Neodiprion lecontei: one gene and its partners. The protein of the gene in region 1 purifies or fractionates together with the protein of each later gene. This does not show direct contact. Links are inferred from orthologs where the notes say so. Each region holds a gene or a part of one and is shown in the gene's direction. Other genes may lie near its edges. The genes, in order: chromodomain-helicase-DNA-binding protein Mi-2 homolog, metastasis-associated protein MTA3 and uncharacterized protein LOC107224519.

Region 1 (5,094 bases):
AATTTTGCTTTATTTAGAATTTTATACACAAACAAACGTATACGAAAGTTGTTATACAATAATTCATACCTGACAACGTCAACTTTTATCTAACATATATATCTAACGTATGTTGCTAGATTTTCAATAGTTACCGCAATACGATATTAATCACTTGGGAGTGTTCAATTACGCACATATAAAAAAATTACAATTGTAGGTAAGCGTCATATTGAAGTCTGTATATACATAAATTCATTGGAAGTTTGAATACCGTAAGTGGAATGTTATATCTAGTCTCAGAACCTTGAAGGTCAACTAATCAATACCGATTTTATCAATCACATTCTTGAACTAATCGAGTGTATAAAATTGTGATTACCCTTGTGATTACATCCCAATTCTGCGGGTACCATAAAATTGTGTGCAAGCTGATTTTCTCAGATCTTACGCATCTTAAACATTGCATTGATCTTTCTCACGATTTTAAATTAGGGGAACTTCAATAGCTGGCATACTTTGAAAGTTTTCTCTAGTTCATTATTATAATATAAGAATAGATACAACTGCAAAGAACTTCAAGAAATGAGGATATAGCTTTGCATGAACAATGTATAGACCCTTTTTCTATTTCAAAACCTAAGAAGTACGTAAACGCGATAGAGAGTACCTAGCTTAATCTAATACATCCCCACAGCAAGCTTCCATTTTGCAAAAGAAGTGAGTTCATGCTGTCTTTAAGTATAATTTCGTATCCTTATTTGGACCGAGTCACTTCGTATGTGTAGAATTGAATAACTAAAGAAAATTATTAAAATTAGCGCAAGATTGTGATTGATATGTATGTTAATATTTTTTTTTTGATAATCATTCAAATCCTAGATCTATTGTAAAGAAAGAACTATACTTATATACTGAAAAATTATGATAGCAATCTATTATCGAAGAATCAATATCATTGTCCAATACTTTGTTGAATTCAACTAGGTAATTAAATTTCATTGGACGAGTGTTAAATGTATGTTAGAATCGTATTAATAAACAGTTGATTATTGCATACCAGACTCCTATCAACCATACTATTGTCAACTCTGTGTACATATGTTGGATTCCGAATATCCATCCTGAACGTTCCCGATTTGTCGAGTTGTCAGAATCCAACGACCTAGGTTCACGAAGAATACAAAAACTATCCTCAATACCAACAAGAGTCAGCGACATTATCAATCAGCAAATGTTGTATACTTACAAATTACATCAAATCCCGCATATGCTTCATAAGATTTATAGTAGAAATGATATTGTATGTAGTACAAATAAACTGAAAGTAGTTCAAGGAGATCAAATTCGTATTATGCATGTATTTTTTCTTTTAAGTTTAATGATTGATAACGATTCAATCGCAAGACTTCTCTGAGAAGAGTTAATGAAATCTTTTGCGTAAATTTTTTATTCTACACTCATTGAAGCCATTGGCTTGGATTTGAATGGACACAATTTATTGGCGAGATATACAATATGGTATTCCAGGGTTTTATTAATTGAAATTTGGAAGTTTGACATCTAGTACAACAATTAATATAAGAGTTTGGTAGATGTAACAATGGTGAACAATTCGACGCATTGTTACTATGCAAGTCAAAAGTTGGCTGGCGGCGGGGGGGGGTTCCTTTCCGAAAAATTAAAAGTGGTGGGGGTAAAAATAGTAAAAGTGGAGGGGATGAACCGTAAAGTTGCCAAGACTGGAGGCGAAGCGGCGAGCACCGAAAGAGAAGTGATCGCACGCCGAGCACGGATCTACGCGTTTATGTCGCATTTTCGCGAATTTTTGCATATTATTCGCGCTCTCAGTGAGTGATCAGTGTTCAAATAGTTAATTAACATACGAAAATGGCCTCAGAGGAGGAAGTGGACGAAACCTTCGCCGGTAAGTGTCGAATAATGGTTAAGTTTGCCGGAATGTTATACACAGGCACGCAGGACGCGCGCTTTTCATATGATGGCTGCCATGTCAACTTGTCTTACGTGATTTTTAACTTTATTCAGAGCTAAATCAGCTCGCACATGTTTTTACCGGACAAATAACGACTGGGTACAATTTTTCGTATCAAAATTCACCTACATTATTACCAAAATAATTATATTCGAAAAGTATCGAGCTAACCTTCCAAATTTTCAATTGTCCAAATTCTTCAATAATAGCTCGATTATTTTTGCATTTTCAACGTTAATATCAACGTACCTATTAATTCTTAGTTGTCTCCCAATATGCCAGATAAATATTTCTCTGATTACCAACCTTTGCAGATATCATCGATGTTCTGTTTCGATACAAAGTTTACATTTCGCACTGCAAAATATATGTAAATCGAAATATGAATATGGTACTTATATTTATGCATTGCGTGAATAATATTGCTTTCACATTGATCACACGGTTGAATCATCTACCGATCTTCGTAAATTTGTACAGGTTAACGTTATTGTAAATATATTTCCAAATGTTTTTCATTGCGTGTCAACAGGCTAACACTTGTGGGTCTTATTTTAATCGCACTTAATGACAATCGGATTTGCCATACCGAGGTATTGAGTTACAGTAGAATTCGAATGTAATTTTGTAAACACGCGAGTTTCTAGAATCCAGTATTATACGGATATCGGCGTCGTATAACCACACAGCCGACCACGGGTTGGTTGGCTGTAGCTTTCGTACATACCTCAACTACCCGAGTAACTGTAATAAGTTATTAAGAATTAGGAAATAGTTAGTTGTAGAGGCATAATTGCGAAAACTCGCTCAGATATACAAAATTTTCCATATATTTCCTATCGGGTAAGTTTGCTTCGTGAAACAAATCTGCACGTCATTTTACAATGTGTTCGATTTGCCAAGTACATTGCATCAATTGAATTTGATTTATGTGCGTTTCGTGTTAATCTTACATCAATATTAGATCAATCCCAGTAATATTATTTTTAATTCGTACGTAAACGTTCCTAAAATTCAGTATTATACGAACATTCGCGTCGTGTAATCACTCGGCCCACGACAAGTCGGCTGCAGTTTTTATACGTTCATGCCTGAACTACCTGAGTAATTGTAATAAAGAGGATTTAGTCGGTTGTACAGAAATAATTGAGAAAAGGTCGCACAGGTATACAAAATTCTTCAAGTATTTCGCATCGGGTAAGATTTCCTCGTGAAACAAATGTGCACGTCATTTTACAACGTATTCGATTTGCGAAGTAAATTCTACCTATTGAATCTGATTTACATGCGTCTCTTGTTCATTTTACTTCAATATTAGATCAAGCCCAGTAATATGGCCATCAACTCGTATATAAACTGAAATGCTGTCCAAACGAATGTTAGGTATTTTAAGTAGGGGTTAAGAGATCTACCGGAGTATTTGCCCTTAATACAAAATGGCGGTCGCAAGTGTGTGTAACAAAGCATTCGCAACTGTAGATAATGCCAATATATTTTTTCCGTCGCCAGTTGTTTTCACTTGCAATGATAAAACTTCCCAAAACACTGCTAGCAACGTCAAATTTTTACAATATATCATTTCTCACTGGCAAATATTACCTAGAAAGCATCAATTGCCGGCAATGTAAACAAGATCAACGCAGTCGATATAGATGTATGTATATCCGTATGCATATAATACGTACGCGCGATTCCATTCGTCGATCATGCATACATGTACCTAAATAATGCAAAGATTCATCGTAATTTCTACTTGTATTCGCAATGATCAGTATTCCCATTAATGTTAATTTTTTTTCAAATTCAATACTTTATTCGAAACGAAATACAATATGTATGATTACTCTGTATAAAGGCTAATTTTGTCCAGCTCTTATTACCAATGAAACGGTTCTTATTATTGATTTCTTGAGGCATTAAAATGTCAAGTGTCATTCGCAATATTTAACAATAAATTCTATGCTATAGCATGAAAAAATTAAAATCTCCCAAGTTAATTAGATTGGCTGTTGAAACGATGAATTCCAGATTTTCGCCCCCCCTCCCCCCCGCCTATAATGCTCCCTTCTCTTCACCCTCACCGCATCTATCTCTGGCCCAATATCATACTAAGGTGGCAACCTTGATGAGATTATATGTATGAGTCTGCCTATAGATAGCTTGTTGTACAGGAACCTGTGTCATGTTTCATTTCATCACAAATATATATAATTCGTTTAATTGATCTATATCAACTGAAGCTTTGATGAATATCTCAGATTATTCAGCAATATAGCACATATATAAATTATCCGTATATTTAGACAATTGACTTTTTTTTCTTCTTATAGGAGAGGAAGAAGCAGACGAAGCTGGAGTTGCTATACCAAATACTGGCCAACCAGTTGCCGAGGGTTCATCTGATGCTGAAGAGTCTCAGAGACTGGTAATATATATTCTAATTAAATTTTACAATTAATATTATAATATAACAAGCATTGACTATTTGGTTTTATTTCCAAAATTGATAAATATTCGACCAAATGTCTAGTATGTTGTTACAAATTGATAGTCAAAATTTTGTGATCTGATTGAAGTAACTATCTTTTACACATCTTACATTTGCTTAGGAGGAAGATGATGATTACGAACCAGAAGAACGAAAAAAGAAAAAAGGAAAGAAGCGAAAAGCTCGTAGTGAAGATAAGAAAGGGAAAAAAAAGAAGAAGAAGAAAAAATCTGACTCCGGAGACGTAAGTATTTCAGTATGATGAAAAATGATGCCAAATCAACAGTTCTGGTCATGAAGCGTCAAGAGAGCTCACTTATCAAATTTTTATATGCCGCTTCAGGAAAGTGATTTTGCTGGAGCTGAACCTACAGAAGCTGCAGGAGACGACAGTGACTATGCTGGGAATCGTAAGAGTCGAAAATCATCTTCGCGAAAATCGTCAGGACACAATACATCGGCAGTACAACCTCAAGAGCCCAACACTGGAATGCCAACGATAGAAGAAGTCTGTAGTACATTTGGACTCACTGATGTACAGATAGATTATTCTGAAGCAGATTTTCAGAATCTTACGACTTATAAGCTTTTCCAACAACATGTCCGGCCTCTCTTAGCCAAAGAAAACCCCAAG
Region 2 (5,125 bases), on another chromosome or scaffold:
CATTGACATCACTCGATTCGCTACATATTATTATTCCCCTCTTCTTGGCATCTTTTATTGGCATATTGAGCCAAGCAGCAACTGCTTCTAGGTAAAGCAGTAGTGCAATTTTTACTGTACAACCATCGTCCGTCCTCAACACTTTTAAAGTTTCCATAAAGAATTTAGATTTTCTGAAAGGAACGATTCATCTCATGTACATATTGCGAAAGTATTATCATAAATTATGTTGAATTTGATTTTCCATTGAATTGATATTTCAGCGATATTATTGCAATACCCTTCTTGTTCTTGATTTAAGACGGATTTGGCAGCATCATACAAGGTTTCCAGTTTAGCCAGAGGAACGATGTCATTTATATTATATACATCTTGAACATCGGAAGCATTCCTGTTGCACTCAGGTAAATTTGTGTTCGCTACCGATTCGTCGTGCAACGACGGTAGTGAAAGATCTGTCCTTTCGATACTAATGTCTGCAAAGGTTGAAAAATGATTGAATATTTGATTAAAAAATGATACTATCGAAGTGAAACAGATCGTTTCGAGCATCAATTTGCCAATCTTACTAGAAACTGTTTCCTCCAGTTGTTTCGTAACAGAGTTGACATTAATTTTCATTCTCTCTATCTGCTCCGTTCTTCGTTTAACCCTTTTGGAACCAAACTGTTTATTCAGTAGAGCAATTTTGTCGTCATCTACGTCCTTGCCGCCCTTTGGTTCTTTGTCCAGTACGGGAGCTACCTGCCATCTCTCAGCTTGGACTAAACGGACTTTGCCAGTTTTCCTATTGTGAATGGCAAGCATGGTATAGGTCGGAGCTTCGTCAGGATCAGGTCGGTAACCTTTATAAACCACCTGCCCGTTCGAAAGAGCGAGTAGTTGTCTGTTGACTTTGTTGTCACAGTACAATCCACATTCCATATTGACAGCCTCATCATCCTTTAGTTCTCCGTTTTGAAAATCAACTGAAAGGCAAATTTGTAGACTAAATATGAATAAAAAGTATCATCCAAATCGCCTAATCGACGTATGACAATGGGTACGTGCCGAGTAAGGTTAGCATTGCTTTTTCTATGTGTCGTATTGTCGGGTGGGATTATTTCTTACCAATAATCGGTTGAATTTTATTCGGTTTGAGAGAAACTTTATCGATTACCGCCTCTATCGGATGTTTCATTTTTTGCGCTAATTGTCCGTGATAATTGTACAAGAAGAATATTTGTTTACAGTTAACCCCGAGTAATATCTTATCTGTTGTTCAGGGATCCACGTGGTCTGGCTCCGTCGGTAATTGGTAATTGGTCGTTCGTATCTACCATGGAGACTAGAGACAGGAGCACGAACTGCGGTTCAGTTGAGTGAATATAATTGTATAGTCACGAGGCAGCGCTAGTGGGCTCGAACGGCTCCAGTTCGAGCAGAGTGTGAAATGGGAGCAGCGGACCCCGACCAGGCACAATTTACAAAGCCACGAGGGGGGAAACACGGGGGGAACCATGGAGACTTAGGTATAAAGTATATACAAGCAATACGGCGGCGAGAATTTAGATGGAATTTAGACGACGCCGGCGGCCGGGACGATGCCAGAGACGAGCACTCGACTGAAGCCTTTTGAGCCCTCCAGCGCCACCCGGCGCCCAATTTTTAATGACGTATTTTACTTTCCATTTAGTACAGCAGTTCGTGCTCCTGTCTCTAGTCTCCATGGTATCTGCAACACGTCTTGGTTGCCGGTGAGCAAGTAATGCATTCATGCCTGAAACCCGGAAATGGACGATCGCAGCGCCACTTACACGAAAAGAATGATATTTGACCAGTGCCGTGGTGTTCCGTGGTCCGCGTCCCGTGTCCCGCAATGTTAAGCGGTTTAAATAACTACTGAGTTTCCGCACCTATGACTTCATTCGCCTATGATAACCCAGGGTGTGAAGTTGTGCTGTATTGTGATGTACCGTGTCACACCGGGCGGCGTTCCGTGCGCGATTTGTTGACAAAAGCTTGCGGAATTCTGACACTCGTGTAACGTCGAAGTGAAAGCAGTACATTACTCGTCAACGATATGATTGCGGGATCGTTTGTCGAGCTGGAATCTTGACCAAGCCGAGCCCAGCACGAATCTAGCTTGCTGACGACTCGGCGGACGAGTAAACGAGAGGGGTGATATTTCACGTTCGTTTACGGACGCATGTATACATGTGTATCGACATACGTGTCATATGTAATACCTGTAACGTGTGCGCGTGTGTTTTGGAGAGAGAGACTCAACGGTATTAAAAAGGGAAGGAGCTACCGCGCTGGGCTAGTGGAAAAGAGAGAGACACAGAGTTGCGGGTTTGTACAGTGTGTGCTTGGCTCTCTTTCTCGCCAAAATGAAAATGGCGTTGGTCTGTTGAACGGAATGGGCCGCCGCCAAAGATGCTCGCGGTTCTAACGGGCACGTGAAATTTGTGCGCGCGTCGAACCAGGTGATCACAGGTCGATATAATTCTCTGTGCCGTATGAGTGATAAATAGATAATAATCGGACGTAACCGATGGACATATGAGGGTTAAAAAGTTACGATGAAGTGACGAACGGAGCTAGGACTAGGACTAGCAGGGCGACGACAACGACCAGGCAACAACGACGACGACGACGAAAACGGCAACGACGACTGTGCGTCTCAAGTGTCGGCTAAAGTCCCCTAGTTGTGGCGCGATTGTGCGCGTTTGCAAGGGAGAGCGCCGATGCCGGCCGAATACTACGAAGATTTTAAAACAAATTTTCAAAGGGCGTTGCAAATCGATTCTCAAGACTCGTGCAACATGACTGCAAACATGTACCGGGTTGGAGGTATGACGCATTCTTTTATTCCATCAAATCGCTCTTTCGACCATTTCAATCCTCCCCCTAGCTTTAATCACCTACGAAAAATGAATGTTTGCAAATGGCAGAACCGATGGCGCCTGTACGCGTCCCTCTCCGCTCCCCCGTCCTTCCCCCCATTCCTTCCTTCCGTCCTTCCTTCCTTCCTTCCTTCCTTCTTTCTTCCATCCATCCCCCTCCTCATCGGCATACGTACGTATCTACGCACAGTGTCCAACACTCGCCGCTTCTCTGATGAATATCCGTGCGACCCCTTGCCGCCGGTCGTTTGTTTCTTGCGCAGCGTCCGCCATCCGCATTTTAAGACGCGTCGGACACGTCGAATACTCATGTTTCCGTCATCTCTGCTTCTTTTTTACTCCTGTTATCCGTGTTGAGCACATTCATTATCCATCCTCTCCGCTCCTGTTATGAAAAAATTTCTTGTATACAACGTGTCGCCCTGGACTGTTACTGTATACGCCTCTGTATGCATGAAATTTATATTATAGCATACAATTAAAATGTAATGAAAATCTAATCGAAACTGTTGAACAATGATTAGATCAAGATTCTAGCGTCACAATCTTCGATGAAATTAATGTTAATTTTATACAGAGAAAATTTGGTGGTTGTGGGGACTCTGTGTCTTGCGCTACCTCTGTACGATAGCCTTCCTTCCCTCAGCCTGAGTGGTCACTGTCACTACATATTTCTGGTATGCGTTTGGAAGGAAAAGTATGTCATTTAAAGAATTTCTGCCAAGATTTCAATTCGTCTGAAGAGCAAAGAAACTATGGTTCGAATATCTTTACCTATCTTTATAAATTTTTGACTGTTTGATACATTTATTTTCACGTGATAATGAAAAGAGGCTTGGAATTATGATGCATAGAAATGCCTGTATTATCATGGTTCAGGGTTTGAAGCGCAGTTACTTTATCGTGCGAACAGGCGTAGGGAATTTAAATTGTCTTACTATTGCGCAGACACCTGTCCATGCTTAGTTGGTCAATTTATGGGAAAATTGTACATTCCTTAGGAAAAAAAAAGTACTAATAGAAGTAATAGTAACGTGTACACGATGTAACAAAAAATTACATGTATTCAGCCGAAATGATATTGACATCAACGACCAACCAAAACTGACCGGTGGTTTTGCTTTAGTTTTGTGAAATTGATAGGCACTGAGATAATGATATTGTTTTCGATATTTTTCAGACTATGTGTATTTTGAGACGTCGTCAACCTCACCCTATCAGATTCGTAGGATAGAAGAATTGAACAAGGTATTTGTAGACATATGTAATAAGTATAAAGTGGTTAACATAAAGTAATTTCTTGGTGTCCAAACTCACTAAGAAGACAAATTTATTCTAATAATATGTTTAGGCCTGTGTGGAGAGAATCCACCTTGGGTCATCAAAAAACCAGTTTCTATCAATAAATATTCTCAATCGAAGTAAGCGTGAATTTAATTATTCACATTGAATTGGATCAATGTTTCAGACGGCGAGTGGAAATGTTGAAGCAAAGGTGATGTGTTTCTTCAGGCGCCGAGACCTTCCATCAACTTTAATTATGCTTGCGGACAAACATCAATGTAAGTTTGCACTGCTTTAGTCGATTTGTATAAAAATTACCTTTTCATCAAGGCATCATCCATCATTTGTTTCTATACCAATTCCATACATTAATTTGAAAAGTATCTAGAAATGAGTATAATCTATGTATTTTGATATGATGCCATTGTACATATTTAAAAAATAGGCTGGTCCTACTCTTCCGGTATCAATTAGCGGTAGTAATGAGATGCTGAAAATTTTGGCAAAGTATGCATGATGAGTTGTAGTAGAAGAAATGGGGCTAACTGTATCGATCTATTTGAAGAGGCAATGGAAAAGCTATCGGGAGTAGTATTTACCTTATTCGGAATTCTTTTTTCTATACCCTGTCCTCACCACTGTCCACTTTCATACTGTCTTTTCCAGCCCAGAGTGTATGAATCGTTGATGTAATGGTATAGGATTTGGGTTTGGTTTGGCGGAGCGTTTATCTGTCCGCAATAGTTTACAACCATATATCTGTTTGATTGTGATACACAGAAGGAGTAAAATTATCCACTTCCAGCTCCTGCAGAGTTATAATTTTTTTCATTGCCAAAATATCATGTTATTTGTGTGACCAAGGTTTGACTGCTGATATTTTCTTTCCCTCTTATTAAGTTTTAGTAATATTATTATTATTCTGATAAATGTAAATCAAGATTAGACGACAT
Region 3 (5,250 bases), about 37 Mb from region 1:
ATTTCGTGCGGATATTTTGAGGTTACATTTGGGATAAAGTTGCAAAATTCACCAATATTGTCGCAACGTTCCAAAGCTGAGAGGTTATATGCACTCACAACGAAAGATCTTGCGCCTGATTTGGATAAATCATCTGACAAACGTTACCTGATTGACTTGGAACTTCAATTTTCCGGAAATGTCAAAACGAAAGCATAACATTGCATACATAAAACCGGACGAGCCAAAGTTTTTAAGAGAGTTAAAAGCTAAGGTCGGTTACAAGGAAGGACCTTCTATTGAGACGAAGGTGAGTGAGAAAAAAATCAAACTGATACATATTAATGTAACGTAGGTGAAATGATTCCTTACTTTCTTGGCAATCGATAAAGTTAAATTGCACGTGTCAGTTTAAACTAATCATATTACACTTAGGTATTATGTTGAGCCATGTTTTCGTTCTTCCATTGATTTTTTTCCCTGATTCGATGAGATACAATTGATGTATTATTGTCTAGAAAGAAGCTCTGCCAACAGCCACAGACGAGGATTACGAAGATCGTGATGAAGAGTTACCCACTGTAGTTGTATTAAACAATGGTGATTTAACTGCTGAAGAAGCAGCTGCTTTCGAACTTGCGAAAGAAAAAGGTAAATTTATAGATGAAAAGTTATGAAATTATCTGCAATGCAAAATGGATGGCAGAAAAGATTTCTCAACTTTTATATGTACGATACGATTTTTTGTTTATAATACCTCAATCTGTGTGTAAAATTCAAAAAAAATTTATAATCTATTGTTACTGCAAATTTATTTTTAGAGGAAGCTCAAACCCCAGCAGATCTATCCAAGAAGATAATCTTTACAAAAACAAAGTCTGCACCGAAAGATTCGAAAAAAAATACAGAGACTGAATCTTCGCTTCCCAAGAAAAGCAAAAAATCCAAGAAAACTAAAGTTATTCTTTCATTCAATGAAGATGAAGAGGATTGACAATATTTTATGAAATATTAATGACTAGGGTGACCAGCTTTAATATCAAGTTACCAAAGTGGTAAGTAGCAAATATATGTAGAAAATGTCTCAGATGATATTCTAATCTAAACTTTCGATCATGATAAAAATTTGGCAGTATCATGTTACTTATGCCGCACTAATGAACTAGGTACGCACACATATTATTGCGATGCGAAGCATGAATCTACAAAACTGGATTCAACGATATTTGATTGCAATTTCTTAAATTAGTTTGTGTAACATTAATGTTCTGTAATTTGGCTCATTGATATCATTATCATTGCTATTGTATGACAAGTTTAACTATTAATGGAATTTTTTATTTATTTTTAGAGACTTTGAATTTCGACAGTCATCAGCGCGGTTTTACCCTGAAAGAAAAATGAATATTGATAATTGAACTGCGGATTTTGGATTAATAACGCCGACTTCATGAACTACGTAATTGTATTTGCAGCGACGTGTATGTGATAAAGGAGACTTTGTGTGTATTCACATCTCGCTTTGATATCTTTTCTTGTTAATAAAAAGAATCACGTTGCAGCAAGCAAATTTTTTCAAATTCGTAAGTAAGCACATCGATCACCTCAATACATTTTATTGTCAACTGAGGTACAATATGATGTTCGTAGAATGGTAATATACGATGATTGTAAAATTACACAAAGCATAAAATATCGAGATGAAATCTCTGGCAGACCTATCGAATTATCGATAAGTCTCTAAATGAACTTTTTCGCCCAGTGACTTCGAACTCTTGATCTCAAGAGTAGCTAGTTTTGTCTATCTTGCACACTGTTCAGAAAGCTTCGTTCGAAATTTGAAACTGTTGAGTAGCGACCTTGGGCAAGCGTCTCGATGGTGAAAAATCGGGCTACTTTTTATTGTTCAATGGAGTAATTGTTGTCCTATTGTTGTCGACGAGGATCGCGGTATTTTGTCGATCGCCCGCCCGATTGGTCACCGCATGTGCATATTGTCACGTGACAATTCCGGGCAAATGCTACTGGTTGCGTTTCGCCCCTTTAACACCGAAACTGTCTACGTCACAAAATTTTTGGTCACGTGACCCCTGACGGACGCCATCTTGGCAGTTTTCGAGGGCGACGGGGATAGTAGCGTTGAAGGAGTGTTATCCGTGACGTCGAACACACAAATAAACATAAAATATATGTGAAATAAATTTTTACACAAGGAACAGTGGGTCGGCCGCTTGTAAAGAATAAAGTGTACTCGTAGGTACCCTGGTTAAAGTGTTATAAAGAGGGATATCGTGTGAATTTAAATAGCGCGGCGTTTCAAACATAACTACGATGGATGGATAATAGGGAATCGACATATCGTCGTCCTCTCCGTCGTCGTCTCAGTCCTACTCCGCTCGTGAGAAAACGAGGGGGGGATTCCTATATCAGCGTACGTACAAACGTATTATCGCGTTTCGGTCACAGACATAAGCTAGCGGCTCGTGTTGAGGCCGCAGCTGTTCGGTGTCGTTGTTGTCGTAGAGATTCATTAATACCCTCGCTGTTTCTCCGATCTCGTGTGCATACCTACCGAACTCCTCGTCGCTTGCCGTGCCGCGATTCGGACTCGGTCGCGCTCGGTCCGAATGACGCGACTCGCCAAAGCTAGGGAACCATGGAAATGGCGGGAGTACCTTGTCAAGACCACGTTATTACCTCACATTAACATCGAACGCGATCGAGCGATGACAACCGGCTGCCACCAACACCGCCCCCTTATCATAAACGCAATCTTATAACACAATATCTAGCTATGCTAAAAAAGTACTAGATTCTAACCACCGTTGCATAAAAAAAAAGCGTTCCTACGAATCAGCCAGCATTGAGCGCGACGGTATTTTTATTCCTTTCACATCTTTTTCTTTCTATTTTCTCTTTTCAGTTCTGTTTTTTTTTTTTTTTTTGGTTGTTGTTGTTGCTGTTATTATTATGTCTCGTCTTTTACATCGTTTTCTTTTCCTGCGTACAGGATATTCTATACGAAAAATATATACGTGTACATGCCTACGTCGTGAGCCATGTATTATATGTATGCAGTGCAAAACGTAACCCCACATACCCACCTATATGTATTATGTACCAAATTTTCACCTACAGCTCTGCCCTCTGGTGTTCAATTTTCAACAATATTTATTCACTATTTACAGCTTTTCCCGTACTCCGCGCACACACATGCAAACGCATAACCGCATCTCTTTCCTATTATTCTATATTTTCCATTATCTGCCATACGTGTCGGTATATTTGGACGGTATGTTTGTCTCCCGAATTCTGACCGCGAACCACGTCACAGATGACGAATCTTACGTATTAACCCTTGATTCTTGTTCCCGCTATTTTATCAATCAAAAGAGAAGACAAAAACAAACAGCTGTAGAATAATGCATCGTGTGTCGAAAATGCAAAATCTATTGCTCGTTGGCCAAGTCAACGATATTATGATATTGTTGCCATTGACTGCGTGCAATACGGCGTACATATTTTAAGGCATATCACACACATTCCCGGGTTCATGCGTATAGCGTTGTAATTCAAAAAACTAAACTGGAACGTCTGAAATCCTCCTTCGCCGTACAAGTTCCGTTTAGTTTCTCTTACATGTTAATAATTACTTTTTGTAACATAATATTTGCTACCTTTTACCCGGCGGGAGTACGCCAAAGTTTAGGTTTGGGAGAGATTAGGCAGAGGACGATCAGTAGGTTGTAGGTAACAGGCAGTTAGTAGTAGGTTGTAGGTACTAGGTAGAAGGTAGAAGGTAGAAGGTGGTAGGTTGCCTCCACCTCGTAGGTTGCGTAGAGAGGCGAGCGAGTCGTCGTAGTCAGCGGGGCGTGTAGGTATAAGGTATACTCCACTGCTAGGTCGTTGGTTGGTTGTGTTGGTTGGCGAAGGTTGAGGAGAGGTACGCGACGAAGGTTCGGCTTGTGCTCGGAGACGCGGCTGTTGGCTGGCCAGCTCGCAGATGCAGGTGACTGACTGACGCTTATATACGGCAGTCGTTTCGAACAACGTACACATACACACTGTACACGCACACAAGAGTACCTGCTTACGGATGTCTCTAAGTTTTTTTCCGTCAAATTTGCTTTTTCAATAAATCGCATCAGATGCACCCACCGTACCCGACTGACAACGCCGCATATACTCCGTTGTTGCATCCCAAGTTCACGTAAGAATTACAATATCGCCATGGAGCTGTAGCCTAAAACGCACACATTCTATGCGTATACCTATGTATGCATATATACGTATATAGATATATTTTTTTTTTACTTCTCAAATTCACCTACCATGCAGGCTGTCTAGACTCGAGAGCGTGGCGGCGCGTCTCCGAACTTTCGTCGGCACCGTACTATGTGCACGTCTCGTGTATGCGTGCAGAAGAGAGAGAGAAAACGTCGAGTTTAACCCCATTGCTTGTTCGGCAGTAATAATTTATTGGTTATAACAACGTATAGCTGAGCTGCGGATAATGCATACGTACAATGTATGTTTTACCATGTACTATTCGAATAATAGGAGTGTGCCATAAGAATTTTCAGCGCCATTTTGGAAAAATTTCTCTACCTCAATTATCTTGCTTCTATAGGCACATCGTCATATAATTTAATATCGCGGACGGTGCTTAGAATCTGGACGTGATAAAAGAGACCAACGATATTCAAACCGTTCTCATAACATGTCAAACTATGTTTTCATAAATTTTTTCATGTAAACATTGGTACTATTTTTTTTTTTCACTTTGCTTGTTTTATTCTTTCGCAGATTGATTAAACCAGAAGTGGCCACATGGAAGGCGCTTTAGAAGAGTCTGCGGTCAAGGACCTACCTCGGGACGATCCTGATGCTAAGACTGTCAAAGGTATGGTTGACTGTACCTCGTTCGTACTTTACGGCCAATTGACACTGAACCTTTGATAATGTAATTTCAGACACTATCATTACAAACGGTTTAAATGGTAACTGCGAACCTGATGAAACTGTCGAGGAGCACAATGACTCCAACGACGAGTGCGAACCCATATCCAAGAATGTTATGGACAATGAGGCGACCGACGATGTGGTGGAAGAAACACCGCAGGAGGACCCAAGGGACGAGGTAGAACCGATGGAAACTGAAGCTGATGCTGGCATTGACGAAGCTAAAGAAAAAGAAGAGGATCAGGCTGAAGATTTTCTGGAAACGAAAACCCAGAAGGAACAGCCTAATGAAAAAGATTCCAAGGAAGG

The links.
Region 2: the proteins of chromodomain-helicase-DNA-binding protein Mi-2 homolog (region 1) and metastasis-associated protein MTA3 fractionate together in Drosophila melanogaster (co-fractionation; 3 studies listed by BioGRID, with this or other methods). This does not show direct contact. The link is inferred for Neodiprion lecontei from reciprocal best matches to the Drosophila melanogaster genes Mi-2 and MTA1-like.
Region 3: the proteins of chromodomain-helicase-DNA-binding protein Mi-2 homolog (region 1) and uncharacterized protein LOC107224519 purify together in Drosophila melanogaster (affinity purification with western blotting; 6 studies listed by BioGRID, with this or other methods). This does not show direct contact. The link is inferred for Neodiprion lecontei from reciprocal best matches to the Drosophila melanogaster genes Mi-2 and MEP-1.

What each region holds. Positions count from the first base shown.
Region 1 is NC_060261.1:40,134,586-40,139,679, forward strand, and holds the start of chromodomain-helicase-DNA-binding protein Mi-2 homolog, read left to right. Parts: upstream 1-1,725; 5' UTR 1,726-1,869; coding exon 1,870-1,906; intron 1,907-4,299; coding exon 4,300-4,397; intron 4,398-4,581; coding exon 4,582-4,704; intron 4,705-4,803; coding exon 4,804-5,094. UniProt on the Drosophila melanogaster protein: ATP-dependent chromatin-remodeling factor which acts in nucleosome-remodeling by catalyzing ATP-dependent nucleosome mobilization. Involved in regulating transcription. Plays a vital role in development.
Region 2 is NC_060266.1:390,852-395,976, reverse strand, and holds the start of metastasis-associated protein MTA3, read left to right. Parts: upstream 1-1,837; 5' UTR 1,838-2,729; coding exon 2,730-2,835; intron 2,836-4,068; coding exon 4,069-4,136; intron 4,137-4,356; coding exon 4,357-4,450; intron 4,451-5,125. Other genes in the region: uncharacterized protein LOC107216873, read right to left, coding at 1-173, 281-476, 570-968, 1,111-1,180.
Region 3 is NC_060261.1:3,448,166-3,453,415, reverse strand, and holds the start of uncharacterized protein LOC107224519, read left to right. Parts: upstream 1-2,102; 5' UTR 2,103-2,232; exon of another isoform or gene 2,233-2,410; intron 2,411-2,952; exon of another isoform or gene 2,953-3,988; intron 3,989-4,004; exon of another isoform or gene 4,005-4,189; intron 4,190-4,317; exon of another isoform or gene 4,318-4,507; intron 4,508-4,785; 5' UTR 4,786-4,809; coding exon 4,810-4,882; intron 4,883-4,952; coding exon 4,953-5,250. Other genes in the region: uncharacterized protein KIAA1143 homolog, read left to right, coding at 179-289, 498-630, 801-973.